3 linked regions of the Struthio camelus genome follow. The protein of the gene in region 3 interacts with the protein of the main gene of each other region in a biochemical or structural test. Links are inferred from orthologs where the notes say so. Each region holds a gene or a part of one and is shown on either strand. Other genes may lie near its edges. The genes, in order: ARF5, ARF6 and RAB11FIP3.

Evidence for each region.
Region 1: the proteins of RAB11FIP3 (region 3) and ARF5 form a complex in vitro, tested with the Homo sapiens proteins (2 studies listed by BioGRID). The link is inferred for Struthio camelus from reciprocal best matches to the Homo sapiens genes RAB11FIP3 and ARF5.
Region 2: the proteins of RAB11FIP3 (region 3) and ARF6 form a complex in vitro, tested with the Homo sapiens proteins (2 studies listed by BioGRID). The link is inferred for Struthio camelus from reciprocal best matches to the Homo sapiens genes RAB11FIP3 and ARF6.

Annotation. Positions count from the first base shown.
Region 1 is NC_090942.1:1,066,730-1,077,358, reverse strand, and holds the start of ARF5 (ADP-ribosylation factor 5), read right to left. Parts: upstream 4,970-10,629; 5' UTR 4,872-4,969; coding exon 4,805-4,871; intron 4,732-4,804; coding exon 4,651-4,731; intron 2,563-4,650; coding exon 2,453-2,562; intron 1,707-2,452; coding exon 1,635-1,706; intron 1-1,634. Other genes in the region: GCC1 (GRIP and coiled-coil domain-containing protein 1), read left to right, coding at 6,336-7,382, 9,081-10,385.
Region 2 is NC_090946.1:81,167,827-81,177,647, reverse strand, and holds ARF6 (ADP-ribosylation factor 6), read left to right. Parts: upstream 1-5,039; 5' UTR 5,040-5,223; coding exon 5,224-5,751; 3' UTR 5,752-8,720; downstream 8,721-9,821. UniProt on the Homo sapiens protein: GTP-binding protein involved in protein trafficking that regulates endocytic recycling and cytoskeleton remodeling. GTP-bound form plays an important role in the transport of multiple palmitoylated proteins form the Golgi to the plasma membrane.
Region 3 is NC_090956.1:17,787,825-17,798,261, reverse strand, and holds the start of RAB11FIP3 (rab11 family-interacting protein 3), read left to right. Parts: upstream 1-6,472; 5' UTR 6,473-6,626; intron 6,627-10,437. Other genes in the region: DECR2 (peroxisomal 2,4-dienoyl-CoA reductase [(3E)-enoyl-CoA-producing]), read left to right, coding at 635-669. UniProt on the Homo sapiens protein: Downstream effector molecule for Rab11 GTPase which is involved in endocytic trafficking, cytokinesis and intracellular ciliogenesis by participating in membrane delivery. Recruited by Rab11 to endosomes where it links Rab11 to dynein motor complex.

The sequences.
Region 1 (10,629 bases), on a different chromosome or scaffold from region 3:
AACAGCACTTTTGCACAGGTCAGTTACCGGCTCTGCAGCAGGTCTCCAAACCCTGCATGAGAGCCAGAGCCGTGAGGAACAGATGTCTCTGGGCCTTTCCACCAGGAGCAGCTGTGCTCTTCACAAAGGAGACCTCGGCTTTGGAGCGCTCAAATCCACGGGAGGGAAAGGGAGGCACAGCGGCAGATGTGGGGTAAGCTCCAGGGGAGCCGTAACTGGGAGGACGCTGCTCTTTCTGTCTGTACAGGAGACAGAAGAAAAGCACCTCCAGGACTGAGATCACTGCCAGAAACATGTTATCTAACATCAGAGGTACCAGGCTATCAGGCTCTCCCCTACAAACGCAGAAGAAAATCTGTCTTGTGAATACAATGGAGCTCTTCGACAGCAGAATGGGGTCAGTGCGAATGATCCCATCCTTTTGCCCTGCTCACAGGCTGTTACACGCTCAGTTCTGTGGCAGCTTTCCACCCCAAGGATGCCCTGAACCCACCAAGACTGTTAAGCCAAGGAGTAAACAATCCCCACCTTGCAAACTGGCTTTTGGATGGCATTTCTGGAAGCTGCCTCCCCTCCTCATGTGCACAAGGTTTTAGCATGCTCACTCACCCCGGTCTCTGCGGGCAGTGAAAACAGGAGCCAGGCTGACACAGAGATGGTTTCTACGCGTGCCCCACGCAGTTTGGCCCTGTGGCAGCTAAAAGGCTTGGAAAATCAGCAGCTAAATGCACCTCCATCGGGGCAGGGAAAGCACATTCAGAGCAGCACTGAGCAGTCCACTGCTCCACGTCCCAAGAGCTCAGCTCTCGAAGCACGTTAGCACCCCGGGCAGCTCGAGGCTAGCAGTGAGGCCATGCAGAGCACAGGGAAAGCAGCGTGGTTACGGCGAGAGGCCTCCCAGGACGTGTGACATCGTGTCCCAAAACAGAGTTCCCACGTTTGGGATGAGCAGCCCCAGCTCACCCCTCAACCAGATCCCACTGAGAAGGTGACTGGGGACTGCATGCCGGTGCCCGAGGGCACCCAGACCTCCAGCCTCCCCAGCCTTCCCACCCCTCCTGCCAACCCTGACACAGGCCACAGGAGAGCGCTTTGGAGAGTGCTCCAAACACTCGCCTGCCGCCACACTGTGCGTGGGCTCCTCGTGGACTCAGGGAACGTTCAGAACACAATAACCTGAGAGCAGCAGGCTCCTGCACTGGCCGTTTCAGTGCCTCAGCTAAAGAAAGCCCTAAGTATAACCAAGAACTGTGTTTTCTTAACTGTGTTTTCTTGTGTTTTTTACCCCTCTTGCAATTGCTCCTGATCACTACAGTTTAAGCCTCTGCCTGGTAGATTAGAATTGTCGTCTGATCCTTAAACCTTGTCTCCTGGGAAGCAATCTCTGTGTCAGCAGACAGACGCTTGCTGCTCCTTTTCACAGGGAGAGACAAGTCGTTTGACAAAAACTGGTGAATGCTCCAGTCCCTGCCTCATGCTGGCACAAAGGCACTTCTGCAGGGCTGGGGCAGATACTTTCTGTGCCCCAGGACAGCCAGGCTGGCAATGCAACAGCCCCCTCTGCCAGGGCAAGCCAGCCTCCGTGCAAGACCAGATCTCTCAGCCGGGCACACGCAGTTCCCGCCAACACTTACCATCTTCTGCAGCTCATCTGCAGACTCTTGCACTCTTTCACGGTCATTGCTGTCCACAACAAAGATGAGGCCCTGTAAGAGAAGTCAAGGTTGGAGCAGGCAGCTTGTGCCCGGCCCAGCGAGGAGGTAGATGTCAGGGCAGCCTACAGACACCCCATGACAAACAGAGAACAACTCAGCTGCCTGCCAAGCCCTCCTCAGCCCATGCCCATGCCGAACCAGAGCAGCAAGGGTGATTAACCTTGCCCAATTAGTCCTACACCTAGTCCTCTGAAGGACTCTTATCTCAGACACTTCTCTTCCTGCTAAGGAGCTGAGGGAAATATCCAGATACAGTCCTTAGGGACCCATCTGGCTCACTGCACTGGGAGCCAGGAATTATTTCCTGCAGCCACTCACACGCTCAGTTCAGGCAGGATCATGCCAGAAGCTCCAAGGGACCACAGGCTGCTGGGACCCTGCATCGCTACAAGTCATGAAGTTCAACCAAGCACTATCCCAGATTTCCTCTAATCCCAAAGCACATGCCTGCACACGAGGGAACGAGAGTGACTTCAGCCGAGCTCCCTGCTCAGTTCCTCGTTAGGAGGAAGAAAGCCTGCCACCAGCCACTCGAGGACCAGAGGTGACGATGAGCTTCGACCTTTCCCCACGCAATGCCCTCTTTTGCTAAGAGGGGAGCAGGTTCATCCCACCGACCAGAACAGCGTTTGTTGCAGATGTGGGGGCCCATGACCCTTCGCCCCCCCAGCAGCACAGAGGCCTGAAGGGGTCCCCATGCAACAGCCACATCCACCGTGGCCTGCGGCGGCACGTACCTGCGTGTTCTGGAAGTAGTGCCTCCACAGGGGGCGGATTTTGTCCTGGCCACCCACATCCCAGACCGTGAAGCAGATGTTCTTGTACTCCACTGTCTCCACGTTGAACCCTGCAGGGGTGGCAGGAAGGGCAAGAAGTGACAGCACACACACTGTCAATCCTGCTGGCAGCCTCAGGGCTCTCAGACCACAGGCAAGAGACACAGGAGGCAGCAGCCCTAGTCTGATCAAACTCTGTGTTTCTGAGCTGCGGGACAGAGAATCGCACAGGGAGATGATGCAGCATCAGGCATACAACACCCACTGGTGTCTCAGGAGTGCAGGAAGGGAGACCAAGGTGCACTGCTGCATTCATCTGCCACCAATCCCCAGGGAGCATCTCTACCCCCAGCACCGCACTGTTAACACAATTCGGCTGTGCAGAGGGTCTAGGAAACACATGCTGCAGAGCTTCCTGCCCTCAGCCTGCTCACTCTGCAAGCTGAGCATCCCCACGCTCACAAGCATTGCCCAGCAAGTCTATCCTGGCCCTGCCAGCTCTCCAGGACCAGCACTGCATGATTTCACCAGCCAGCCCCTGGGAACATCCCCTTGAAAACCTCAGCAGCCCAGATGTGGCTGATACTCATGTACCAAAAATCACAGAACAGTTGGGGTTGAGAAGAGCCTCTGGAGATCATCTAGTCCAATCCCCAACTCAAGCAGGGTCATGTAGAACACATTGCACAGGATCGTGTCCAGGTGGATTTTGAATATCTCCAAGGATGGAGACTCCACAACCTCTCTGGGCAATCTGTTCCAGTGCTCAGTCACCCTCACAGTGAAGGAGTGTTTTCTTGTGTTCAAGTGGAAATTCCTGTGTTTCAGCTTGCGCCCACTGCCTCTTATCCTGTCACCGGGCACAACTGAGAAGAGTCTGGCACATCTTCTTAACATCTTACCTTCAGCTCTTTAGTCACACGAATAAGACACCACCCTGAGTCTTCTCTTCTCCAGGCTGAAGAGTCCCAGCTCTCTCAGCCTTTCTTAATATGACAGATGCTCCAGTTCCTTCATCATCTCTGTGGTCCTTTGCTGGACATGCTCCAGCAGGTCCATGCCTCTCTGTCCTGAGGAGCCCAGACCTGGACTCGGCACTCCAGGTGTGGCCTCACCAGGGCTGAGCAGAGGGGAAGGATCACCTCCCTCGACCTGCTAGCAACGCTCTGCCTAATGCAACCCAGGAGGCCACTGGCCACCTTTGCTGTAAGAGTATGTTGCTGACCCATGTTCAACTTGTTGTCCCACCAGGACCACCTAGGCCTTCTCTGCAAGGCTGCTCTGCAGCCAGTTGGCTGCAGACCCCAGCTTGTCCTGGTGTCTGGAGTTATTGCTCCCCAGGGGCAGGACTCTGCCCTTCCCTGTGTTGAACTTCATGAGGTTCCTCTCTGCCCATCTCTCCAGCCTCTTGAGGCCCCTCTGGGGTATCAGCCACTCCTCCCCCTTTTGCATTGTCTACAAACTTGCTGAGGGTGCGTTCGGTCCCACCACCCAGGTCATTAACGAAGGTGTTAAAGAGTGTTGGCCCCAGTATGGACCCCTGGGGCGCACCACTCGTGACCGGCCTCCAGGTGGACTTTGTGCTACTCATCATAACCCTCTGAGCCCAGCAGTTTAGCCAGATTTCAGTTGACTTAGTTAGCGTGTCCTTCACCAGTTTGTCTGAGATGTTATGGGAGACAGCGTTGAAAGCCTCCCTAAAGGCTTTCCACCCGTGCGCCGGCAGGAACAACAACCTGTCCTGCCTTTAGAGCTCGGGCAGGCTCTGAAAACAGCACGTGGCGGCCTCCTCGCCAAGCGAAGTGCCTTTGAACCAGACCGAAGCAAGATCACGCTGACGTAAGGGCTTCAGTTCAGCGCTTGCCAACACAAGGCAGATGAGGAGCCGCAAACCAAGCTGCGCGAGCGCAAGGTGGCCCACAAGCCAACCCTGCTCGCCGAGCGAGGCGGCGCGCCCGGCAAGGCTGCAAAGGCGGGAGGCGGCAGGCGCTGCCGAGGCCCCCGGCCTCCGCGCGGTAGGGCCGCTCGACCGCGCCGGGCCAGGACCACCCTCCCAGCCGGCCGGCAGCCCCCGGCACGCGGACGGGGCACCGGGCCGGCGACGCCAGCCGCGTCCAGGGCCGGGGGCGGCCGGGGGCGGCCCGGCGGCGGCCACTCACCGATGGTGGGGATGGTGGTGACGATCTCGCCCAGCTTCAGCTTGTAGAGGATGGTGGTCTTGCCGGCGGCGTCCAGCCCCACTGCAACAGAGAGGCGGCGGTCACCGGTGCCCCCAGGCCCGGCCCCGGCCCGCCGCCCGCCCCCGCCGCTCACCCATGAGGATCCGCATCTGCTTCTTGCCGAAGATGCGGGAGAAGATGGCGGACACCGTGAGGCCCATGGCGGCGGCGGCGGCGGCGGCGGCGGCGGGAGGGGAGGGACGCGACGGCCCCGCTGCCTCGGCGCTCCGCCGCGCCGCGCCACGCCCCCTCGCCGCCAGGCCCCGCCCCCTCCCCGCCAGACCCCGCCCCCTCCCCGCCCTCACTTAGCTAGACCCCGCCCCCTCTTAGCCAGGCCCCGCCCGCTCCCTGCGCCCCCGCGCCGCCCGGGCCCGCCTCCTGCCCCTCGGGCCCGCCCCCCCGGCCGCCACGCCCCCTTGGACGAAGCCCCGCCCCCTCGGCCTCATCCCTGCCTTACGGCGCCCCGCCGGAGAAGCCCCGCCCCCGGGGTTATTTAGGCCCGCCCCTCGCCGTGACACGCCTCCATGGGCCTCGCCCCTTCCCTCTGACGCGCGCGCGCGCGCGCACCCCCCCCCCGCTCCCGTCCCCACGGAAGCCCCGCCCACTTCCGCCCCCGCCCCTGCTGCCGATGGCGTATTGGCCCCCCCGGGGGGCGGGGCTGCGCCTGCGCATTGAAGCCCATTGGCTCCGCGGGCGGCGCTCGCGGCGCGTCTGTGGCGTGTCGCCCCCATGTGCGCATGCCCCGGGGGAGGGGGGGGGGAGGGGGAATCTCACCCCGGCGGATTGTGACGGGCGCCCCGCCAGGCGCCGCCCTCGCGCCTCGGTGCGGTTCGCGCCTGCGCAGTCCGATCTCCCGGGAGGGGGTGGAGGAGGCGGGGGGGGAAAAAAAACGGCGGTCTGGCGCGTGCGCACTGAGCCGCGGCGGGCGGCGGGGGGGGGGGCTCCGCGCCTGCGCAGTGGAGGCTGCGACCCGCCGGCCTGCAGGTGAGGCCCGGGCGGCGGCGGCGGCGCGGGCCGGGAGCGGGAGGGGGGGTTTGGGGACGCCCCCGGCGGCCCGTCGCTGCCCTCTCTCCTGCCCCGATGCCTCCCCCAGCCCCGGCGGCCCGGGAGAGGCCCCCTTGGTAGGGCTCCGGGCTGGCGGTGCGCGGCTGGGCCCTCCCCCCCCCCCCCGGTGGGGCCCGGTGACAGGACGAGAGGCAGCGGGCCCCGGCTGAAGCCCAGGAAGCTCTGTCTGAGCATGAGGAAAAACTTCTTCAGCGCGAGGGTGACAGAGCACCGGCACAGGTTGCCCAGAGCGGTTGTGGAGCCTCCCTCCTTGGAGATGTTCCAAAACCCACCTGGACGCGATCCTGGGCAACGTGCTCTCGGTGACCCTGCTTGAGCAGGGGGTTGGACCAGCCGGTCTCCAGAGGTCCTTGCCCACCTCAACCCTTCTGCGGCCTAACAGCAGCCCAGTATGTTTCTTAGGCTGTTCTGTTACAGGGTCATTAACTGGTGTCCCAGGGGGAGTCCAGCATGCTGGTCCTGATGAGCAACCTGCTCCTGTTAATCATAAATATGTCTTTGCTCTTTGTTTAGCCTGTGCACTGGTTTTCTCCTTCTCGTTTCAGATCGCACAGGGCATCATGGAGAAGTTTGGCATGAACTTCGGAGGTGGCCCAAGTAAAAAAGATCTTCTAGAAACTATTGAATCTCAGAAAAAGCAGCTTCTTCAGTACCAGGCTCGGCTGAAGGATGTTGTCAGAGCCTACAAGAGCTTGCTCAAAGAAAAGGAGGCCTTGGAAGCTAGCTTGAAAGTATTGTCCGTGTCTCATGAGGCAGATGTTGGCTTGAGTGGAGCTCACCCTGCGTCTGTGGCAAGCTCCAGCTCTTCCTTTGCCGATTCTGCTGATGACAGGAGTTCTGTTCACAGTGAGGATAGCGTGGGGACAGCCACCAGTGCAGACACGGCTGCCAGTCTGGCCAGTACCAAAGCTGAACCAGGAGCTGAGGATGATAAGCCTGCGGCCACTGCCTCCTCTCTTAAATCAGAGGAGACAAGCGGTTCAGAGAGCGGCATCAGCACAAACAGCGGAGATGTGCCATCATCTGCTGGTGAGGCTGATAAAAGAGTGCTCCAGCTGAAGACTCAGCTGGCCACCTTGACCAGTGCTCTGTCCACAGTCACACAGGAGAAATCTCGCATGGAAGCTTCATACCAAGCAGACAAGAAGAAGATGAAACAAGACCTGGATGATGCCGTTAAGAAAGCAGAGGATGAGAGGGACAAGTTGGAGACCGAGCTGAAGTCTGTCCAGGAACAGTTAGCAGAGACCAAAGCCCGTCTGATCACACAGCAGCATGACCGAGCCCAAGAACAGGGTGACCACGCTGTTATGCTGCGAGAGCTGCAGAAGCTGCTCCAGACTGAGAGGACTTCACGCCAGGACGTAGAGCTAAAGCTAGAGGAGACCAGGGAGCTGTTGGCTGGGAGGGTATGCCTGGCTGACCGTGCGGAGGGGTATGAACTGCAGATCAAGCAGCTGAGCCAGGAGGTAGAAGACCTGAAAAAAGAGTTGCAAACTGTGCAGGAAGAGAGCAACAAACCAGACCCACGGATACAGGATCTGCAGGAGGAGATGGCCAGTCTCAAGAATCACTTCCAAGTGCAGCTATTGCAAGAGATGAGAAAGGTAATTCCCTGGCTGTGTGCTTGAGCAGCTTACTCTGCGGGACATAGCAGCAGCAGTCAGGGGGCAGGGTTTGACTGGAGTGGCGGCACAATTTCCCTTCCCTGTCCAAGAAGTTTGAAATAAGTAAGAACATCATGGCTTTATTTGATGAGACGGTATTCCCTGAGGAAAATAAAGGCTGTTTGTGGTTCAGTGTGTAAGTCATACTATGCAGGGGCTAATGACCATGGGCGTTGGGAGCAGCCTTTATGAGGTGCTTGGGCTGTGGCTATCCTCTAGAGCGTCATTAGGTTCTGAACACGTTATCATCTGGTGTGATAGTGGCTGGGATGGGAGGAGAGACCTTTGCTTTGACTCACTGTGGCAATGAATGTGCTCTTGTCCTTGTAAAGTATTTAAGGGCAATGCAAGGTACAACTACTGTAGCTCATAAAAGGAAATAACTTCTAATGCAATGTTCTGTAAATCGGTAGGACTTTCCCCGGATGAGTGTGGAGATAATTGTGAAATAAGGCCTCTCATGCCTTCGTCTTCAGGGCCTGCACTACTTGCTTGTTGAAGTCATGAAACCATCTTTCCCTTTTCCTATTCTACAGCATGGCAGATGAGAGATTTCTGTGAATTTCACAGCTGCTGTGACAAAAGCTATCAAACTGCAGAGGTTCTTGTCTGATCCATTGTGAAAGATGCTGTGCAGCTAAAGGTGACAGCCCATCCGTGCTGATGGGAACAACATAAACTGGTTTGGCTAGCGTAAGCCCAGGGAGCTTCGTGGCCTGTGCTATTGAAGGGCCTGGGGTTACTTTTCAGTGAAGTTTGAAGAGCTCTGGGGAAAGAAGAAAGGTAAATATGAGAAAAAGGCTCTTGCCTGCATGCATGTGGGGAGAGAAAAGAGCTAGAACAAGGGATGTGATGTAAAAGAGGAACCTGTGTAACTCTGTGGGTTGTGGGGCAACGTGCTCAGGAGATGGCACCAGTAACTGAATTTGCAGCCGGAAGCACTCCAGAATGGTATCCTCCTCATCCCTCGGCGTGGAACACGTTTTCTCCTTTCTAATCTGAAGGGTCTAATTAGGGACTAGGCTGATTTCACGCTATTTGCCTCTTTTTGGACGGTATCTGCAACACGTTCTCTGACAGAGGTGACAATGATCTGACCCCAGTTATGCTTTAATTCGTGATGGTCAGTCAAGTGCTGCCATTCAAATTTTCTATTAGACAGTTGGCTCTCGATAGCCATAAAAACTGTGAGCACCAGGTGTTTGTTGTAGTTACTCAGGAACCACTGAATTATGTTAATACCAGTGCAACAAAGCATAGCATTTAAATAAATTGTAGTTTGAGATATGAGAGTTTTAAAGCACGTGCATGTTTTTAAACATCCTATGTCAGACTGTGACATGAATTTGCTTTTTCCTACCCCCCACCAACCTGTAGCAATACAGATAACACTGCTGACAGGAATTCTGTTGGAGGACTGGGAGTAAAAACAAAAATGCCTTTGGTTTCTTTTATCCTTGAATCTCCCTTTTCAATACGGGCAAGTCAGCGTAGTGGCTTGTACAGGATTTTAGGGGAAAGGATGGCTCAGCCCTTGCCTGGAATTCATCAGAGCAGAATTAAGCCCCTGGGTAAACTGCAGACCTCCTGCAGAGAGTGTTGAGGTAATCTAACCCTCCCGTGTCTCTTTGCTCTCAGACTGCACAGGCAGAGGAGCAGCTCCGCCAGCACGCCCAGATGGAGGAGCGGCGAGTGGCTAGTTTGGAGGGCCAGGTCTCCGAAGTGTCCGAACTACTTGGCACTTACGAAAAAGCCAAGCAGAAAGACCAAATGGTCATTCAGAAACTGAAGGACCGCATTGTACAGTTGGACTTGGAGAACAAAACCCTAGCCATTGCTGCGTCCAGCCGCTCTCCTGCTGATATTCATCTAGAAGAAAGCAACCTTGATGTGAATGTGCTAAAGGATAAAATGGAGAAGCTGAAGAAGCTATTGCAGGCAGCAGCTAAGAAGAGTCAGCCTGCTCTGGACTTCGAGAAGCTGTGTGAGCTGGAGCTGCCGAAGGGCACTGAGACTGGGGATGGCGAGAAGGCAACTGCTTTGTACTATCAGCAGGAGCTAAAGCAGCTGAAGGAAGAATTTGAAAGGTACAAGATGAGGGCACAAGTGGTCCTCAAGAACAAGTCAGCCAAAGATGGCAATCTGGCTAAAGAACTGGAGGAAGCTCAAGAGCAGCTGGCTGATCTGAAAGAGAAATATGTTGTACTTCGACTGTCCTCTGAGGAAATGGAGAAGCAGCACCAGCAAGATATGGAAGCCAAGAGGCAAGAGCTGTCCCAGCTGCAGCAAATTCACAGGCAGGAATTAGAGCGATGCCAGCTGGACTACAGGGAACGGACACTGAAACTGGAGGAAGAAATGCACAAACAGCGGGACCGAGCACTGGCTGTGCTGGCAGAAAAGGACCAAGAACTGGAGCAGCTGAGATCTGTCACGTTGTCTTATGGGCTTCAAGGATCCAAAAACTACCTAGCATCAGGGACTGATGTTACCAGCAATGACTCATCAGGTAACGATTCTTCAGAGAATCTCCCCCAGGCTCTTCATCTCGCTGCCACCAGTGAGCCCACCTTCTTCTTGTATGCAGAGCAGCTGGCTCGCAAAGAGGTGGAAATTGTAGCGCTGAGGAAGCAGAAGCACAAGCTGGAAATGGAAGTTCACCAGCTCCAGGAGAAGATCCTGGTTGAGGAGGAGAAGCACCGGGAAGAGGTGTCCGTGCTTCAAAATGAAATCCAGAAGAATTTCAGAGATAAGAGCAGAGAGGGAGCCAACTTGGAATACCTCAAGAACATTGTCTATAGATTTTTAACACTGCCAGATTCTCTTGGTCGCCAACAGACTCTAACTGCCATATTGACTATTCTGCATTTCAGCCCAGAAGAAAAGCAAGCTATTACAAAACAGTCAGCTTACAGTAGCTGGTGGCTTTCTGGGAAGAGATGAGATGGTAGTTTTTACCCATAACAGTTTTTCTATAACATGTTTCTGGTTATTATCTAAAGCCAAATCATTTGTGGGATAAGCTCTTTCCAATCAGGTGCAATGGAGCAGAGAGCTTTCAGGAAAGAATTGGGCTTAAACTGGTGCTACTAGCACTAATCTAAAGTAGAATTGTTCCAACTATTCCAGTAGGATCACAGTGCTCTCGGGTGTGAGATTTCGCTCTAAGTGGGAACTTGATTTAAAA
Region 2 (9,821 bases), on a different chromosome or scaffold from region 3:
CAGCACCGCTCAGCTCAGCCACAGGCCCACATCTGCAGCACCTTCGGGCAGGCACAGGGCAAGGCACGCAGTGGGCTCTGGAAGGAGAAGGCCCGTGCTGGCAAAGGGATAACAGAGGCTGGAGCACCCTTTCGTTTGATGGTATCAAGCAGAGGCATGCTGGTACCCTGCAGGGAAGGGAAGTGGCACTACCTCTTGGCAAAGGGAAGGCCCTGCTGCACAGAGGTGGGCTCCTCAATGGCTCTAGTCCAAGAACAGCTACAGTATCCCTGAAAATACCTTGGTACCTAAGCAAGTAATTCCTGCCAAGCAATGACACGTGTCCCATCACTTGTCAGGAAGGAAAAAAGAGGAGATCAGGAAGACCAGCGTGGACAGAACCCAGCTGCTGGCCAAGTGAAATGGGCAAAGACAAAGCTGGTCAAGCCCCATCTACGGACAGTCCCCAAGAATGAGGGAGCAGCCCAGCCAGCAAGAGAGTCACTGAGAAACCTGAACCAGTTGCTATTTAGAAGAGACCCAAGGAAGGGTATGTCTGAATCCAAAGCAGAGTGGGATGGAAATGGTACTTCCCCACTCTCTACTTACTCATTTTGTTTTGCTTTGTGTCTCATGGTACCGCGGGCGGTGGCACAGCTCTGCAGCCCAGCCATCACACCTCCTGCAGCCCAGATAAACAAGCATTCAAGATCCTGTTAACTGTTTCACTCGCTGTGCTGGCTGCAATCCAGAGCACAGACATACTTTGCTTGAGATCAGTGTTTCTTAACTGCTGGATCCTGGGAGAAGGCATCAAAGGCAACTCTCAGCTATTAAAAGCAAGCACAGAACTCTCATGTACACTTACACCCTCTGCTTATGCCTTATGCATAAGAAGGCTAAAAAAGCAGTCGTTTCCTGAAACCAGAAAAGGTTTATCCGAGGCCAGGGAGTAGAGGAGTCAATACCTGCACATGTACAGAAGCAGTACTTTAAAACTCCCAACATCTCCTCTCCCAAATATTTGGGTCAAGACTTGTTCTACTGCTGTCTAATTAATGAACTGTTGCTGGTGTTCACAACACACTGAAATGGTCTCATGGAACAGAGCCAAGTACAAATCCACTAACCTCCACATCCTGATGTTAATTTTAGCCCTGCTTGGCAGTAAACTCCATTTAGATAAATTTCCTTTACTAAAGAGATGAGACTGAACTGGCAGTATCCAGGGGGATCGGTAGGGCTCACTGTAAATTGCAGGGCAGTATGGTACTCAGCCATAATACTTGCTGCTTTAAAGACCAGAGCATGAACCCTGGCACTGCCTGTTGCACTCAGGGACACTCGTGAGGCCTGATGTCAGCAGATCGTACCCTCAGCTCAGCCTGCACGTGCTGCTTAAGAGAGGTCACGGATGGTATGTTTTCCTTGGCATTCTCCCTCTTTGCTCAATGCATGAAAGAGAAAGGCTTCCTCTGAAACTGTTGTTGTCATTCCCTTAATAATTCCGTAATCTAGGAAATCTCCCGTTCTCATTCTAGACTGCAAAGAGAGCACACGATTTCCCCTTTGCTGTTCCAAGGGGGATTGCTTTGCATGTGCCACATAACAGCAAAAATATGGCTGTGATAAAAATTAACCCAAATGAAAGATTTGCTATTTTTGAAGCGACAGAGGGATTGACAGAGGGTCAAGTCTCTTACACATGCAATCTCAAGTAAAAGCACACCTGTGCTCTCCGGGCAGGCTGGAAGGCAGCCACGTAGCCTGGCCTCCTGAAGACTGATGCCAAGGGGACCACGGGGGACATTTCACCGGGTTTGTACCCTGGCCCCCCTTCCCATGTCCTCTCCTGTGACTCACATACAGCTACCAACACAGGCTGCATTTCCCACTGCCTTCCTCCCCGCAGGCCCTGCCAGCACAAAGCGGGCTAACGCCCTGCGCAGGCAGGCCCTGCTCCAGCACGCCTGCCCTGCAATCACCAGGTGAGGACCAGCCCCATGGTGACTAAGAGCATACGAGGAAGCACAGGGCTGCCCCGTGCAGGGGCGGTGAGTCCTGGCGTACCGGCCTCGCCACCTAGTCACCGGCAGCCCAGCCTGGCGGGGTTGCGACATACGGCAGGGGTTTCTGTCTGTGAAACTGGCCCAACGTGTGGCTGTGAAGTACGTGCAGCAGGAGCCGTTTTGCACCGTGCAGGGTGCACAGTGGGGCACAGCTCCCAGGGAAGGCAGTGGAGGAATGTGGCCAGGTATTTGAACACTTTATTTCCTGGTTGGTTAGCCACGGTTTAAGTTCCACTGATCCTAGTTATCTGGAGTGACCCAAGACACCACCCACCAAAGAGCCTTAACCCTTTCTGCCACTACACATCCCAAGTTGTTTTGTTTTAAAACAGGGGAGATTCTTTTTGGAGAACACTGGGGAGGGCTCACCCCCATAGGCTACAGGCATGGCTGCAGCCGAGACATCCTGACTCCTGGTGTAGGTATGGGGGGAGACGTGCTTCTGCAGCCTCCTCCTTACTCCTCCTGTAATCTTGTCATGGTAGTGGGGGAGTTGTGCTCATATCCTCAAGCATCTTGCATCAAGGCTAGTGATACTGCAAATGTGGTTTGTGCTGTCAAATGTAGGCTTTTTTATATTGCAGAAGTTATGTGCTCCTGCTTGTCTTCTTCCCAAGCCTGTGAAGCCACTGGCTTGGCACGAGCCAGGGCACAAAAAAGCTGCTCCTAACCATACAGCCATGTCTAACACTCTGATGTATAACGCAGGCAGTAGCTGACTGGGCGTAGGACTGTTCTTGGTTTCATATCCTGTGACGTCTTTCAATATACAGCACGTACCTTCCGGGCCAGCCCGCCCTCCTCAAGGCCTTAAAAAACAAAAAAAAGGCAAACATCAAATTTATATTCTGTGGTTTTCAAAGATTTAAGTATGATGACCCTTTCAGTTATGGCTCATATAGGTCAGGCTCATAGGGGTCAGGCAGGACCACTCAGAGCTACACAAGGGCTCAAGCCCCTTCCACGCCCACATTTCAGTCTGTTCCCTGCCCCTGCTCTACTGCTCCTGCCAACTACCGGACACTACACAGTCTTCATAATGTCCCTAAAGTCACTGCCTCCCAACTTCCCACTTCCTTTCTCCAGTCTGCCACCTTCTTCCCTTTCCAGCAAGCCCTTCATTGGCACTTCCTCTTCTTAAAGAAAATACAGCTTGTGCTGTGCTCAGATGAGACCTGCTTTCTTCCCCCCAACTAACAGATTTTTAACAGCGATTCATTCAACATACCTACGTTAATTTTTCCAACACCTGCCAAGGCCAGTGTTGGCGTTTGCTACGTCTGGGCATCATTCAGGAGCTAATATACCACCAGCTCTACGCCACCACACAGGTCAAGTGAGCGGCCTAGCCAGGATCCCTCTTCTGTATGTTGCCTGAGCACCCTCAGTGTAATTGATTTGGGACACAACCACGGGATTTGAGCTTCCCTGTGAGGCTCCAACACTGCGTTCAGCTTTGCTCTTCCATTAGCAGGCAATGAGTCGAGACCCTGAGGGCCAGTCTGATGTTCCAGCTACGGCATTACAGAAAACAGCAGACTGGACGACACCTTAAGGGATTAGTTAGTCCAGCACCATGCATGAGCCCAGCTCAAGCACTCTGGATCATACTCCACAGGCTTCTGTCTGAGCTCCAAAGCGCGTGACCCTAAAACCTCAAGAAGGGACCGCACAGGCTCCCCCCGCAGATGGCTTCCCTCAGAAAGCCCTTCCCACAAGGTGGCCTAAACCTTTTGCCAACCTCGGCACGGCAGAGCAGGGCGATGACGAGCCCGGCCCCCCTCCCCGTCAGCCCCTTTTCCCTAGGGCGGCCTAGCGCAGGGCGGACCCCAGGCACCAGAGGCCCCTTCCCGCCTCGGTGGCCCTGTGAGACCTGTCCCTCCGCGAGGAGCCAGGGCCACCGGCGGCCGCGCAGCGACGGCGGGGCCCCTCAGGCGCATCACCCCTCCCCCAAAGCGCAGGCGGCCGGGCGCAACGGTTGGCGCCAACCGCCGTCAGGGCGGGCACGGGCACGCGCCCGCCCCCGCGCATGCGCGCAAGGAGCAGCGGCAGCGACACCCATCCCACCTCCCCCGCCCCGCTCCGGGCCCTTTAAGAAGCGCCCGTGGCGTCCTGCGCGTGTCGTGTGCTGACGTGTGATCGCGTGGCGCCTCTCTCCACAGACGCCCCGCCCCCTCCGGCTGCCGCATGCGCACTCACGCCGCAAGCCCCGGTCCCGGCCCCGCCCCGTTGCTCCCCGGCCCGCTGCGCAGGCGCAGCAGTACGGGAAGTACCGCCCTCGCCTGTGCTGGGCGGCGGGGCGTGCGCAGACGGCGCACGCGCGGCGCTCGCGGCGGGCAAATCGGGCGCGCTCCTACGCCGCCGCCCCGCCCTTCTGCGCCGGCGTGCTCCGTCTGCGCGCGCTCCCTCCGACGCGCGCGGGGCGGGCCGCCGTGACGGCACCCGGCGCACGCGCGGTTCCCTTCCCGAGGCCGCGCGGGGGCGGGCGGAAAGGGGCGGGGCGCCGCTTGCCCCGCTCCCCCCCCACCGCCGCCGCGCTGTGAGGGGGGGCCGGGCGCATGCGCAGAGGGCAGGGCGGGTGGGGCCGGGGGCGGGGGCGCGGCGCGCAGGCGCAGTGGCGGCGGAGGGGGAAGTGAGGCGGGCTCGCGCGGCGCCTTTTCCGGCGAGGGCAGCTGCCTGAGGGGAGCGGCGCGGCGCGGCGCGGCCAGCAGCGGAGCCGGCCTCGGCCTCGGCCCCGGCCTCAGCCCCAGCCCGCGGGCGGCCCTGAGGTAACTACCGGCGGCCCCGCTACCTCCGCCTGCGCGGGCCAGGACGCGGAGCCGCCGCCCCTGAGCCGGCCTCCATGAGCTGAGGCGCCGGGGCGGCAGCCAAGGCAAGAGCCGGGCGGAGCCGTTGCCGCCGCCGTCGCCGCCTCAGGCCCGGCCGGCGAGCGGGGCGCGGCGCGGCCGGTCTTCCCGCTCCGCAGCGGCAGGTCTCGGCCTCCGCGGCCGGCCCATGCGGCGCTGAGCCCCGCCTGCCCTTGGCCTGACGCGCCGGGCCGGGCCGGCCCCGCTCCGCTGCGCTCCGGGCCGCCGCCCCGCGCCGGCTGCTCGGCTGCGTCGCCGCTCGTCCCTCATCTCTCCCTTCCCCCCCCTCCCCCCCCCCGCCGGCGCCGGGCCCCTTGGATGCCGCCGAGATGGGCAAGGTGCTGTCCAAGATCTTCGGCAACAAGGAGATGCGGATCCTGATGCTGGGTCTGGACGCGGCCGGTAAAACCACCATCCTGTACAAACTGAAGCTGGGCCAGTCGGTCACCACCATCCCCACCGTGGGCTTCAACGTGGAGACGGTGACTTACAAAAACGTCAAGTTCAACGTGTGGGATGTCGGGGGCCAGGACAAGATCCGTCCCCTCTGGAGGCACTACTACACGGGCACGCAAGGGTTGATCTTTGTGGTGGACTGCGCCGATCGCGACCGCATCGACGAGGCCCGCCAGGAGCTCCACCGCATCATCAACGACAGGGAGATGCGGGACGCCATCATCCTCATCTTCGCCAACAAGCAGGACCTGCCCGATGCCATGAAACCCCATGAAATCCAGGAGAAACTGGGCCTGACCCGAATCAGGGATAGGAATTGGTACGTGCAGCCCTCCTGTGCTACTACAGGGGATGGACTCTACGAAGGGCTGACATGGTTAACATCCAATTATAAATCCTAATGAGAGAATAACTATTTAGTCTACAAAGAATTAAAAAAAAAATAACCCACATGGCTTTCCAGACGAATGATTCTCTACTGAAAAGTAAAACAAAAGCATCCATAGGATTATGATCACCTTTCTCCAGTTACCACCCTTTCGTTCTACACACTGACTGGATTCCTGTTTTAACTCTCCTTGCTTGGCGTTAGGATGCTCTAATCTTCAAACGTGACACGAACACAAGCACTAGATGCTATGGCAGACCTCCAGCAAACAGGGGAAAGACACATTGTAGACTTGCTAAGTAACTTTTTTTTTTCCTCTTGATAGCCTTTAAGATGGTTTGATTATTTTGGGGGATGGTTGGGGGAGGGGTACCATTTTCAGCGTATGCTTTCTGGTTCTACTTTTTTGATTACGTTTTTTTCTTCTATCACTTGCTGTAGATTGCTACTTTTTTGCATCCATGCAGAATATGTTGATAGGTCTACTTCATCTAGTAAACGGAAAACTATTGCTTAAAATCAAACTGCAGTCTGTCTTTTTATATTAAGGACTTTTTTAAAAGTTCTGTTAATCTGTAACTAAATAGTGACTCTCAGTCTGTCTTCATATCTCAGACTAATAATGAAACGAAATCTTGCCTACAGTGGCAGATAGTGAGAATACCATTGTAATATGTTCAAAGTGCATATCAGGCATAATGTTAACTAGGTAATGTAAGAACTGCTTTGAAATGTCAGCTGTGAAGTTCTGAACCATACATCATGCATGAGAAGGGATGCAAGTAAGTTCCCCATACTACATAGCAACCATATAGCAAATACAACATGAATGATGTAGTAGTTCCAGGGTATATACTGTTCAGTTTTTGTCTTGCATTGCAAACTTAATGATGTTTAGCTGCAGTTTTTATTACTTGTGTCAGTCTCCAATTCAACGCAAGATATGTTCCTTCCAAAAAAATGCAGCAATAACGTGTAACCATTGCGACAAGTTTTAATTTAAATCACAAACGTTTAGGCAAAAATCTAGCACTGACTTTACTGTCTTGCGATAAAGAAAAGTTGCTTTCATCTCAAGACACTTGAAGACATCTTTTAAACCTTAAAAGGATTTATTTTCGTTACTTCTGAAATGCATGTATTGGAGAAAGGAGAACCAGAACCCTATTTTTCCATTTTGTAGACTCCCGAATGGGCAAGTTCAGCGCGAAGCTTTAACAGAGCTCAGTAATTCTGACATGTGAATGATTGCCATTTTGAGGAAATCACTTACTGGTTTAGTTCTGCAAGACTAGACTTAACTCATACAAATAGTTGCAGTCTTCGCCATCTGTCTCGGTAGCATGTTGTTGCTGTAGTCCTGTATGAAAGGAACTATGTTGGATGTCTGAAGCCCATTGAGTAACTATTAATGAGAACGGGAGGAGAGAGTGAGAAGACGACTATGAATGTAAACTTCCATAACTAGTTCTTAAAGGGCAAGCAGCTCATTTGCCATGTCACAGTTTTCAGATGTGACTGGCAAAAAAAACCCACCCAAAGCAAGTATTTGTATTAGTATAAAATCTCAATCAAGTATTAATACTGGGTGCAAAAAATGTAAAGCAGCTGGTTCTTATTCAGCCTTAAGGATTAACTTCAGATTTCCTCAAGGAGTTAAAATTCAATTGGGGAATTCTAGGAATGTATGCTACAAAACCAGAAGAAAATGGCTTTCTTTTTTTTTTTCCTTCCTTTTCCAAGGTTATGAGTTTTACATGAAATTGGGGCATTACACTACATTTCTGCAGTGTTTACTCTGCATGCTAAATGCATTGTGTATGGAGCTCTTACCAAAGACATATGGGAAGATAAAAATGCTGAATTCACTTCTGAATTTGTATGCTTTGGACCACTTACAAATTACCTTAGAGCATGGTTCCGAAAGAAGACTTATCTTGATGTGGGTTGCAAATGGGATTGAATGGGTTCTTGATACTAGAAGATAGAGCACTGATTGATTATAAACCTGTGCAAGTTAAAGATAAGAGTCTGGAAAAACAAGCTTCATGTACAGTACAAAAGCTCTTAAATCTCAGTCCTGAAGAAGAGGAGGTGAGGCTTTTCACTTAAGTCTTTTTGCCATTGGAATATCATTGCTCTATTTTCTAGGGTTTTTTTTTTTTTATAAGCGTAAGAATTCTTTTTTCTGTTGATGTAACTTAACAAATAGCGTGGTAGTATAAAGACTAAAAATATAAGAATATGGTTATTGTTTTCTTCTGGAGCATAAATAAAATAGCCAAGCACAAAGTAAATGCCTAAACTGGAAAACTTGAAGGTCTATTAATGGTTCTTGAACTTTCTTAAATCTATTCTCAGTCAAAATGAAAACTTAAATAACTTCATTTTCAGTCTAAGTTGGTTTACTGTTTTTTTTTTCCTCTTCAAATGCTGGGGCAGACTTCTTTGCTAGACTTTGCATTAAGTTGAATTCACAATTTTGTATTTCCTTAGTAACTTTGTTACTTTAGATATTCTGTTTTTGTAGGTGAAAGGAAACTGATTATGCTTCTGTTTTTTTGTTTATGTCTTTTTTTGGGAGAAAAAAGTTACTGAAACATGTGGCAGAGACTTCAAAAATAAAAGGCCATTGCTACTGAACAAAATACAGTTTTCACTTTCAACATGTCCTTTATAGGTTATAGCTGAACCTCACCTTGAACTAGTGGCTATGAGGCAGTAAACATAGCCTGTAGGATAAAGTGGCAATCTGTAAGAAATCCAATGATTTAAAAACTAATCTGAAGTTTAAGTGCATCAATTTGTGTTCATGTGAATTTATGGAGTAAGTTTTGAATGGCGTTAATCGTGTCCGATAAGTGAATGAGTTTGTAGACTGTGATCTCCCTGACTAAAGTAAACAGGAATTTTGTGTTCTCAATATGGCTGTAGTGTTGGTAAAGAACTAATAAGCAGAAAATAAAGCAATTACACAGTGGAGCTCTCCTGGTATGTTACTTATATTTAATTATGAGAGAAACAGAAAGGGGCAAGATGGTACTGGAGTAGTGCATTCTGCTGACATAAAGAGGTCTCTGTTCTATATTTCACAGTTTTGAAAGCCTGTCTGTAATTCTTTTGAGACTTAGATGAGTGACTATTTTTATAAATGGAAAGGATGATGCTTCTTTAATACTCCCACTTTTAATAATCTTCTTTTAGCAAACTTCAGTGTCAAATCTGTAATGACTTTGGTAAAGCTGCCAGCCCCAAGCAACTTGCATGAGGACTTGGAAAAGTCATACAGTGCACGGCAGCTTCTGTGAGAGGGCACACAGGGGCTGTGGCGGAGGAGGACAGGGCCGTGTTTAACAGAAGAAACTAGCTGGTTGGAAAGGGAAGATTTTAGGCTAATGTGGAAAATGCAGCTATGCACAAAAGGGTCGATGACTATGAATAAGGGTGCTTGTGGAGTGACAGATGTGAAGTTGGGACGTTTTTCGGTGCGGTGCCCGAATAGGAAAGGAGTGAGCCAATAAAAGGACTTGGGCAGGTGCAGCAGGGGAATGCATGGGGGGACAGGGCAGGGCGAGGCAGCCCGGGCAGGATGCAGCAGGCTACGGTTTCTCTAACAGCTGCAGTTCCTCACGCTGAAGGGGAGACAAAAACGTTGCAGGAAACACTTAACGGTTTCAGCCCGAAGCTGGGGTGACGGTCTGGTCGCCTTCGAGTAGGGAGTTTGCCGACAGAAGGGATGGACAGATGAGGTTTCGAGGCAACTTCCAGCACCCCCAACCGCAGGTGCAAGGGCAGGCGTTAGTGACTTGGCATTAGTGTCATGTTGTTGCAAAGCTTTAAGGGATTGCCAGAAAACTTTATTCAGCTTCTGGGGAGCACGCCGCGTGTAGGGGTGGACGGTGGTCCTACGGCAGCTGCAATGCTCTGGAAAGCATTTTTATTCTGCAACATTTAGGTTAGGCCTCATCTACTTGAGCGTCAGTTAAGGGTGTGGCTGTGTAAATGAACTTAGCCTGGCTTAATTAAACCACTTCAAGTTTGTAGACAAGGCTGCAGAAGAGTAAACTCATGTCTCTTTCATTG
Region 3 (10,437 bases):
GCCTCTCTAGCATGCACTGCAGAGTGAGGGCTGGTGCACAGCCCTGCTGACTGGTGGTACCTGCTGCTCTGACACCTGCTCGATGAAGGCTGAGCCAGATCCTTCATGTCCAAGCAACGGCTGGATGGTTTTGTGGTATTGGCTGTAGCAGTGGGCAAGATGGGAAGCCTGGGGGTTGACAGTCCCTAGGGATAACTTGGGAAGGGCAGGAGAACTTGCTGGGATTTTGCCTCTAAGCCTGTGCTTGGCATAGTATCTCTTGCCATTTCTTCTGGAGGATACTTGTACGGACACATCTGAGCACCTCCTTAAGCGATGTGGTGCCCTTCTGTCCCTTTACCAGCAAGACTGGGTACAGGAAATCTGACAGTTTCTGCCTCCCCTTTGCTCCTTGCTCGAATTGCTGCAGCATATATTGCGTTGCAGTCGAATTGCCTGCAGGACTTGTTTTGGCTGCATACTCCTGCGGAGGTGGGAAGGGAGCTGGCACTTGGTTACTAGGCCTTGTGTTTTTCTGGAGAGGGGGGATCCTTTCTCCGCCTCTCTCCTGCCCAGTTCTCTGGCTTGGCAGGCTCCTTGGGGCAGGGCGAGCTTGGCCAGGACTGCGCATACCGACCTCCCTGCTGTCTTGCAGATGTCTGGGCTGCAGGAGCAAACACAAATCAATGATGGACAGCCTGGGAATGACTGATGGACAGGAACGTAACCGAACGCTGCTGCTCTGGGACATCTCGAGGTCACATCACCTAGAGACGGAGCTGATAGCTACTACCTCTCTGACAAGCGACTGTTGATGGTGACGCTGCTGATCCTGCCTCTGCTGGGTGGAGGGAGCACCAAGGATGCTGGGTGGGGAGCAAGCCTATGCCAATTCTGTGCCATTGTTTTCTTCCGAGCTCACATGGCTGAGACTGCGAGGACAGCAAGGGGTGGGCAGGCTGTGATGTTTCCTGTCCAGTTTGTGTCCCCCTTCATGTTGTTCTCCTGGCTTTTCCTGAGTCTCAGGCAGTGCTCCCCCAGGCTATCCATCCCCTTCCCAGGCTCTCCCCTGGGTCAGAGACCTGCCTGAGATACCCAGCAGCATCCCCTTTTTGGGAAGGCGCGTACTTCAGGCCATTCTGGGTTGAGCAAAGCCGTGTAATTTCCCACTGTCACTGCTAGCTGCCATGTCTGTGCCTTATCCTTCTGCAGGGATGAGGCTAGCCTTAGTGCTCAGAGCATCTCTTGCTTTGTAACAGGAGCTGGCAGTTCTCTGAGGGCAGACAGGGGCCAAGCCCCTTCCTGGCCCCCGGCGGGAGCAGAAATGGCTTTGTTACCTCCTGTAATGCTAGGCCAAGAGCAGGTTCCTCGATGAGGCAGCGGTCTCTTGAGGCTGGCACAGATGCAGTTGGGATAGCCATTATCCCAGGAATAGAGATGGTGTGTGTAGGCCAAAGCCAACCACAGATGGTTCTGTACTGCTGTGCACATTGTAGCTCTCTCTCAAGAGACTGGGTGTGCAGCTTGCTGTCAGCCCTGTCTGTCTGTCACGCTATCTCATGCTGTCTCCTTTCTTAATACTTACACTACAGATGAGGGTAAATCAAGGGCACGCTGAGGGCTAGCTGAAGTTCAGACCTTTCTGAACTGGCCACTGAGCTGACAAGCTGCAGGGAGCTGCAGCAGTTCTGCATTGGGCTGCTGGACGCAAACCTGCCCCCTGTGCTGGAGCCTCGTGAGGTACACACCCATCGTGTGCTCGTGGGCTCTGCTCTGCAGCGTTCAGTGCCCTGCTGCTGACAGTTTTTAAGCTTCACTTGAATTCTCTGAAGTCTGATTTAGAAAACTGCGTTTCCTGCTTGATTATAGACTTGACGAGTTTTGCTCCTTCCTCCAGGCCATGAATAAAAAACTTCTGTTCTTGACTGTGACACTTCTCATCTGTTCACCTGCTCAAGGTTTTGATCCTGCAACATTTGTTCTGCCTTTAATTGCTGTGAGCTTGGAAAGGGTTGCTTGTTTCCCTTTTTCACTTGTGAACCTGTAGTCTCAACAGCAAGAGAGTTGAAAGACCATGTTGCATCTTAGGTCAGAGCATCCTTTTAGCCAAGGTTGCTATGCCAGCTTACTGCTGCATGAGCAAAGCAAACAGGCTGTCTGTGGGGCACCCTGGGGTGCTGACTGATACTGGCGGTCCCAATCAAGCCCTGAGGGAGGAGGAAAAACCGCTACTCCTACTAGCAGTGCTCTGTGGCACCCAAGTGCTTGGAGGCTCCTTGGCCCCAGCACCCTAGGCCAGTGCTGTGTGTGGAGCTACTGCCTCCGCAGCCCCAGCCCAGCTCTCTGGGCAGACGCTGGCAGGCAGCTGTTGGATCGGGTCCCTTGGCGGAGGTACTGAAGGACTCTGCGTGGGAGAGAGACCCCAGCCCCTTCAGAGGGGCGAGTATGTGTTTGGACCAGGATCCGGGCCTTTCCTCAGGCTGTCCCAGGAGTCACATTGGTGATGTACTGAACCAACCCACCACCTCCTGCCCCAGGCCTGTGTGCGCTGAGGAAGGGGGATGCTGTTTCTTGGGGCTGTAGGAAGCACCATGGGCTGTCTTCCTGCCAGGCCTGGGGTCCCAGGACAGCTGTGATCACAGAGTGGGTGTGTGGACCGTTCTGGCCGAGATATATCTTCCAGGAAGTCAACCGGCCTCACTGCACTGTCTCCTCATGTCCTGTCCTGCAGTTCACTGTCCTGACAATGAGAAATTGGCCTAATTCCCCCCTTGGAGTGCAGCTGGCTTCAGCCCTTGATCATAAGCTCTGGCTTTGCTCTTCCCAGGTAATTTTGGACAAGTATTTTCTCTTGGAGAAGGTACTTATGTGACGCTTTTTGGTCCTAGCCCCTCAGGTACGGTCTGTTCTCTGAGTTGCACCCCTTGTTCTCAGAGGGTGCACGTATTTAACTGTGTCTTGTTTAACCATGACCAAGCGAGCCAGGGGCTGTCTGTCCCTGTGTGTGATAACAGCAGTGGTGGCTCTTGGAGGTTTTGCTCTAGCCAGCCCCGTGGCAGCCCCTCGGTGCGTGTGCAGTGGACGCAGTGACACTGAGGGGCTTCAGTGGGAACCGCCTGGGATGTGCTAGTATGAGGCTGGGATAGCGCAGGGAGGTGCAGGCAGAGCTGTGGCCCCCTCGGTTTCCCGCAGCTTCGATGCTGTCTCTGAGCTGCAGTCAGGTGACGTACGCCGACCGCCGGCAGGACATCGGGCAGGTCCCCGCGCTGCCGTTCGCCTGCGGGGAGCGGTGCGAGGTTTCCCCGCTTCGGTGCAGCAGGGAGAGATGTGCAAGGAAAGGTGCCGGAGGAGAGGCGGCCTTGGCTGCGGCCCAGGAGCTGCTGCCAGGCCTAGGAGGTGTCACGTTGAGCCGGGCTCCCTGCCCGGCAGACGCGGGTGCTACCCCTGCGTGCAGCGCGGCCTGGGCGGGTGGCGAGGCCGGAGCCGGGCAGAGCAGCCCGCGTCGCCCGCTGCCTGGCTGAGCCCTCTGCCCCGGGGCAGCCCCAACGCGCGGGAACCTCTGCGGCGCGCGCGGCAGGTCTGGCTGGGTGAGAGCCTACTGACAGGCTCCTGAGCAGGCGCTTTCCCCCTTGCACCTTGGTATCGAGAGGCATCGCTCTGCCAGGAAGTGCGAACCAGCTGCGATCAAAGAGGATCCAAAGCGGTTAGGGGAAGAGACCTCTGTCCTCCTGAGAGCACATGGGCAGCATCTTTCCCAAATCCTGGCTTCATGCTGAGCCTCACGTTAGAAACGTCTGCTCTCCCGTGCCCGCAGAGCCAGGGTCCTGGAGCGGGTGCTCCCCATCCTGCCCTGCGAGCCGCGGAAAGCCCTGCTGCCGGCCGGGTGCTTGTGCCACGTGTCCCTGAAGTGGCTTTACGGTTGTTTTTGCTGCTTTAGGCTTTCTTGGCGGTTTCTCCCCAGGCCAGGTTTCTCGCTGTTCCTGCTGCGGGAGGCGGACGAGGCCAGGCCGTGGCGCGTGACCCATTGCGAGGAGCCGAGTCCTCCTCTATCGGCGAGAGCAGTGAGACGGGAGGAGCTGGAGACCTGGCAGTTCCCCGGAGCTTGTCAAGGGGAAGCTGCTTTTTTTTTTTTTTTTTTTTTTGCAGAGTATCAGGAAAAAGAGCCTCAGAGGAGGCAAAGCAGCTTCTCCCGCTTTCCCTGCGAGCAGCTCAGCAGCTGCTGGTGACCTTAAATAGCTGTTTCAGCCATTTGTTCCATTTTCTTTAAGGCCCAGATCTCACTTCCTGCAGTGGCCACGAGCATGTTTTTCCCTATGGACTAACTAAAGATGAGCGAGAGCCGAGGCTGAGAACAGAGCGGGGCTTATTCGAATCACCCGATGCACCTAAAATACAGCCCAGAGGTCGCAGGGAGCCGGTCCTGCCGCGTCAGGCAGCCAGCCGCGGCCGTGCAGCGAGTTGGGCAGCGCGGCAGGGCCGTTATCCCCTCGCAGGAAACCCTTTGCTTTCGCTCACGCGTCACTGTGTCGCGAACCCGGGGGATTGATTTGCAGCACAGAGGGGATCTGCCGCCTTGCAGCGGTCCCGGCATGGTTCCCTTTGCAGGCGACGCTTCGGGCAGCGAGCAGCCGCTGCCGCGAGCAGCTCCCGGCAGCAGCTTTCCCCCGGCAGGACCGCAGCCACCCCCTTCCACCGCACACAACAGCTCGGGGGAGCTAAGATGAGTTTTCAAACCTTTCCAGCAGCAGCCTGATCCTCACCTGGGTCAGACAGGTTTTTTCCTCCCTCCGGGGGAGGCTGCTTAACCCCAGCAGCTGTTTCTACCCACGGCAGGGAATTACATGACGAACGAAAGTCGTCGGTGCTACAGCTTCAGGCAGCCTGCGGAAAGCATGGTGCAAACCTCTAGCTGCACCTGCAAGGCAGAAGGGAGAGAGACCGGGAGGACCAAGATGGTTTAAAATGAAACCGAAAAGGAGATTTAGGCTAGGGAATGCGGGTGGAGCGGGGCAAGGCGGGAGAGGTGCGTGTGCCCCCTGCCAGCCTCGTGGCCCAGAGCCCTCCCTGCGCCTCCTTCCCCTGCAGCAGGACGCAGGCCAGGCGGGGGCGGCTTGGGGGCTGCAACGGCAGCGACGCGCACCTGCATCGCCACAGGTGCCCCCGGGCTGCACGAGGCTAGTGAGAGGCTGCTCCGGCTCCCAGGGTTGGGTGTTAAATGATTAGGGTGGACTGTAACTCCGACCAGTGGGGCTGCCTTACTGCAGCCAGCTGTGCCGTTAGCGCCCACGGCTCCGTGGCCTGGGGGGGTGGGCAGGAGCGCGCAGCCTGGCCGGGCAGTGTGCTGGGGACCACGCTGGTGCTGCTGTGGTGACACCAGCCAGGTTGGGAGCGCTGCCCTGGGCACCCTGCTGCTTGGCACTGGGAAACGAGGTGCAGGGAGCAGCGGCAGCACAGCTGTGCCATGCACAGCGAGCCTGGTGACACGTGCGGAGGTTGATGAGATGCACGGCGGCTGGCGCATGGTGAGGGCAGTAGGATGGACAGTGCATGGGGAGGCTGCTGCAATGCATGGGGCCTGGTGCACGGTGAGGCTGGCAGGATGCACGGGTTATGGGGAGGCTGGTGGGATGCATAGGGCCTGAAGCATAGTGAGGCTGGCGGGATGCATGGGTCATGGGGAGGGGAGGCCAGCAGGATGCACAGGGCCTGGAGGATGCATGGCTCGTGGGCAGGCTGGTGGGATGCCCGGGGCCGGTGCATGACAAGGCTGGCGGGATGCCCCGTGTGCAGCACGGCGTGCGGGTGCGCAGGGCGCAGCGCCCCGTGGGGGCGGCGCAGGGCGCGGCCGGGGGACGCGCGGCGCGGGCGGCACGTGCTCGCGCCTGGCCCTTTAACTGCGGCCGCGCGCGCGCGCGCGGGCGGCGGCGGGGGGCACGCTGGAAGGCGAGTGACGTCACCGCTCCAGCTACTGCGGCGGCTACTGGATTAAATTTCGCCGTTGGCGGCGGCCTCCCCCGCGAGCGGCCGCGCGGGCGGGCGGGGAGGTTGTTTGCCGCCGCCGCCGGCGGGAAGCGGCCGGGCGCCCCGGTGGGTCCGGCCGGTGCCGCAGGGCCGAGCGCGGCGCGGGCGGGCGCGGCGGGGCGGGGCGCGGCGGGCGGAGCCGGCGCCGCCTCGCACAAAGCCCTGCCCGGGAGCGGGCGGAGCCGGCGGCGCCGCGCCGGGCCGGGCCGGGCCGCAGCGCACCGGGAGGGCAGCGCCACCGGGGCCGCCCCGCGCCCGCCGTGTGAGGGGCCATGGCCGCGGGGGCACGGCGGCGCCGCCGCGGGGCTCGGCGCGGAGGCAGCGGCGGGGCGGGCGCCGGCGGCGGCCGCGGGCTCTGAGCGCCGCCGATGAAAATGGAGCCGCGTCCCCCGGCGGCCCTGCCCCAGCCGCCGCCGCGGGGGGAGCCGCCGGCCGGGCCGGGCCTGCCGCCCCCTGAGGCGGCCGAGCCGGGCGCCGCGGAGGAGGGCGGCTGCGCCGAGCCGCCGGCGCTGCGGGAGGACGAGCCCCGCCTGCGCGCCGTCTTCGACGCCCTCGACCGCGACGGCGACGGCTTCGTGCGCGTGGAGGAGTTCGTGCAGTTCGCCACGGCCTACGGCGCCGAGCAGGTGAGCGAGCGGCCCGGCGGCGGCGGCGGCCTCCCCCCCCCACCCCCCCCCCCCCCGGCCGGGCCCGGCCCTGGCGGCGTCGCGCTGCGGCCGCGCCGCGTGCGCCCCACGCGGCCCCTCCGCGCGGGGTGCGGGGCCGCCCCTCACCGGGGCCGCCGGCCGCGCCGCTTCCTTCCCGTTTCCGCCCCGCTGCCGCCGGCGGGCGTCGCCTCGTGGCGGGCCAGGTGCGAGGTGGTTTGAACCCCCCTCCCTCCCCGACGTGGCGAGAGGCGCTGGCCGCCGGGGTGCGGGGGAGCCGTGGCGCCTCTGCGCGGCGGTGAGGGGCAGCGCTGCCCCGGGGCAGCCTCCCCCCTCCCTGCCTTTGCCCGGGGGCGCGGGCGCCCTCGGGCCGCTGCGCGTCCCGCCGCGCTCGGGAGCCGCGTCCGCGCCGCTCCGCGGCATGACAAAGCAAATTCTGGCGCGGGAAGGAGCGTCTGGGGCGGCGGAGGGCTTTCAGCGCCTCGCCTCACGGCCGGAGCACCTGTTCGGGGGGCGTTTTGTTTAACCGCCGCCGGAAAGCGGAGGAGCGTGACTCCTTTGTCTCGGCTGGCGCCCGGGAAGCATCGCTGGCTGCGAGCCGGGGCCGCGGCCCAGGAGGGAGGTGCTGAGCTCGGGTGCGGCCGGCCCCACCGACAGCCCGCGCAGCCGGGAGCGGACCCCCCCCCCGTCACTGTGTGCCAGCGCTTCAGAGGTGCCGAAACTAGCCGTGAAGCGCTTTGGGGTTTTGCCCCGAGCGGGGGCTGCGAGGTGCTAAGGCCTAGCCCGGGTGAAGCGGGCTGCGCAGGGGGTTCTCGTGTTGCTGGGCATCGTCCGTTTGAACTGACCCGGCTCGCGAACGGCTGCGTGCAGGCTTCTCGTCTCAGCTCCCTCTTCAAATCCCTCCTTCTTCTTGCAGAGAACAGTTATCGGTAATGCTGTCCGCACAGAGCTATATTGTGCTTTTCATCTCTCTAGCTATCTATCTCTATATAAAGTGTGTGCCTATATAGTACACACACACGCTCTATGATATATAGCTGTACGTATATGTGTGTTGCTGAAAAAAAATATATATTGATATAGCTAGTTCTCCATGTGCTGAACAACTGTCTCTTGGTACTGTAAGTCCTGGAACATCCTGGCAAGACTGATGTGACGACAGCTGAGCCAACAGGTAATGGGCATCCCAGGGAATGAAGCCCAGTACCTTTTGCAGAGGCATGCCAAAAAAGAAAATGTAAGCTTATGATGCTTGCGCTTGTGAGAAGACTTAATGTTAGCTTGCAGCTCAGAAAAGAAAGACAACATGCTGAGCATGAAGGTGGGGAAAGGGTTGTTGGTGAGATCTGTTTCCAGCAGATATATTGAACAGTGGAGGAAGGTGTGTGGGGAAATTTCTTGACCTCTTTTGCTTTAAGCAAATGTAACTTGGGCCAAAAATGGGCCTTCTGAAAAATGAAAATCCAGCTCAGGTGAAAGTTAAAGGGCAGGATTATCATGGGTTGGGTAAAATGATGTTAAAGGTGACTAAAATGAAATTTCAAGATGTATAACCAAGGTTATACTTAAAACTGGGACTTGGGAGGCTTGCAAGAGAGTTCCCAAGGGTTTGATGGCTCATGAAGTTGTCGAGTAGTTGTTCGGTTGGCAAGGAGTTAATGAGGAGCCGGTCCCAGTCCTCTTTGCTCTATCTCTTGTCTAGGAATTGGAGGTACCTGCTTCCTTTCCTTCTCCCCCTTCTTCCTCCTAACCACCGCCCACACGGGTGGCTGCGTGGAAGGTATGAATGAGGTGTTGGAACAAACTGCTAAATTTAAGCACAGCAAGTCATCAGAGCTAGCTGATTCATCTAAGAGTTCAGAGGGCTGAAGGGTTAAGGAAGCACGTGTGTAAAACAATATGTAGCGGAGAGCTGGAGAGTAGCAAATGTTGTGTTTAGCATTCACTAAAGCACCAGAGGCATTTATGGGCTACTGAGTTCAGTGCTCTCAGGTTATTTGGCTGAAACAATTATTAGCTAAATGTCAAAGGAAAGAGACCAACGGACGCTTATTCCATAAAAGATTAAATGGAGTTGAGTTTCTGTTAGGATTTCTTCTCCGCGTGATCAAAACCATGCATAGGAGAAACTGGGGTGTTTTGGTCTGGGGGATTTTGTTGTTTTTGAGGTAGTTTGGGTTGTTGAAAGACTGTCTTAAACTCCATGGCTGCGTAATGGGAGGCGTAGTGCTAGTATGGAGTAGAAGACATCAAGGCATAGAAAGCTAAAGACTATTTGTTCTTCTTTGAAATGATGAAAGTTAATAGGGATCAAAGCTGTCACCAGTACCTTTGTTTAAAGCGTTGTATGGAAAGGATGGGCACTGAGGTCCCAGTGTTTGACCCCTTAGCTAGGGGTAGCCTTGGCCCTAGGAGATGCGGCCCCACGTAGGGCTCTGCAGGCCATTACGAGTGGCCGCGTGTGTCGAACGCAGACTGCCGCGCGGACGCCTAAACGAGGCGTGCACAGGGGAAGATAGGTCTTGAGGACGGCTTGACTTAGCATACCAACCTCCGTGGACTGTTCACTAGTAGCTCATGAGGCAGTTCCTAGCGGCATTGTATTTTCATTATCTCCCCTCCTCTTACTTTTACGCGTTTCCTAGCACCCGGCGTTCACCTGGAGCTGCTCTGTATGCTGTCGTGGCCCAGGGGATCCCCAGCGAGCGGTACGCGGGAGTAGGGTAACGGGGAGACCCTGTAACGAAGGGGGAAGAAAAGCATTAGGGTATCAAATCGGAGAGCAAGTGAAGAAGTACAGAGTCATGTTTTATGTAACTGTTATGTCACCTTGCAAAGCAGAGGGTTGTATCTTCCATTTACGTGAGTTATACAGAGTCTGAGGCTTATCGCACAAGATTTTAAAGCAGCAAATACATAATTTGTCTTGCCTGTTTTACAGTTGCAGTATATGTGTCTGATTGCAGTGAGACAGAAGGCAGAGCCTTTTCTCACCGGCTTTGTTACTAGCTAGAAACGGCGGATTGTGTTGGGGAGGAGGAGAAACAAGTGTTTGTGATGCATGAGGGGAAGCTATCCTGCTGTCTCTTTCTTTTTTTATCTAGAAGATAATTGGAGATGGAAAAGCCTTTTGCACCACATGATCTCTCTACCTCAGTTCAATTAAAATAAGTCCCTGCAATTTGCTTGGCATATTTGAAAGTAGGTTAGACAATACAGCATCTCTGCTTCCTGTGTTTTGACAGAGATCTTTGACCTTTTTTTCCCCCCCTTGATGATCAGTTCAAGCTTTGTTTCAGTGTGCTTTGTTTCCCTTTCTTTAATATTAACATCCTTTAAATATCTGCCCTGGACTACCAACCACCTTCTGCTCCAAATCGGCTAATCCTCAGCTGAACTCTCCATGTTTACCTTTTATCAGCTTCTTGGAAAGAGGTGGCCAGCCTGACTGGGATGTTGCGGAAGGAATCGGGTCTCGGCATAGCAGGTACTCTGCCTTGAAAACTCCAGACAGCGGATGCAGAGACAAGGATTTTATTTTTATTTTCCTAATGAAAAACTCTCCAAGTCTCAGCAATTGTTTTCTGGAATGAAGTCTGGATGCTGTCACACTACAGCTTTTCAGTGTACTTTTCTTATAGTTTCAAGATCTGGGTCACTCTGAGCACAGGTAAAAGCTAAAAAAGCCCTCCTTACCCTAAGGTAAAGGGCCTTAAGGAAGTCCAGTTTCTTCTCCCCCCTCCCCCCCCCCAAGCTGCAAACCACTCAAACTTGTGCAGTGTAGTTGCAGTCT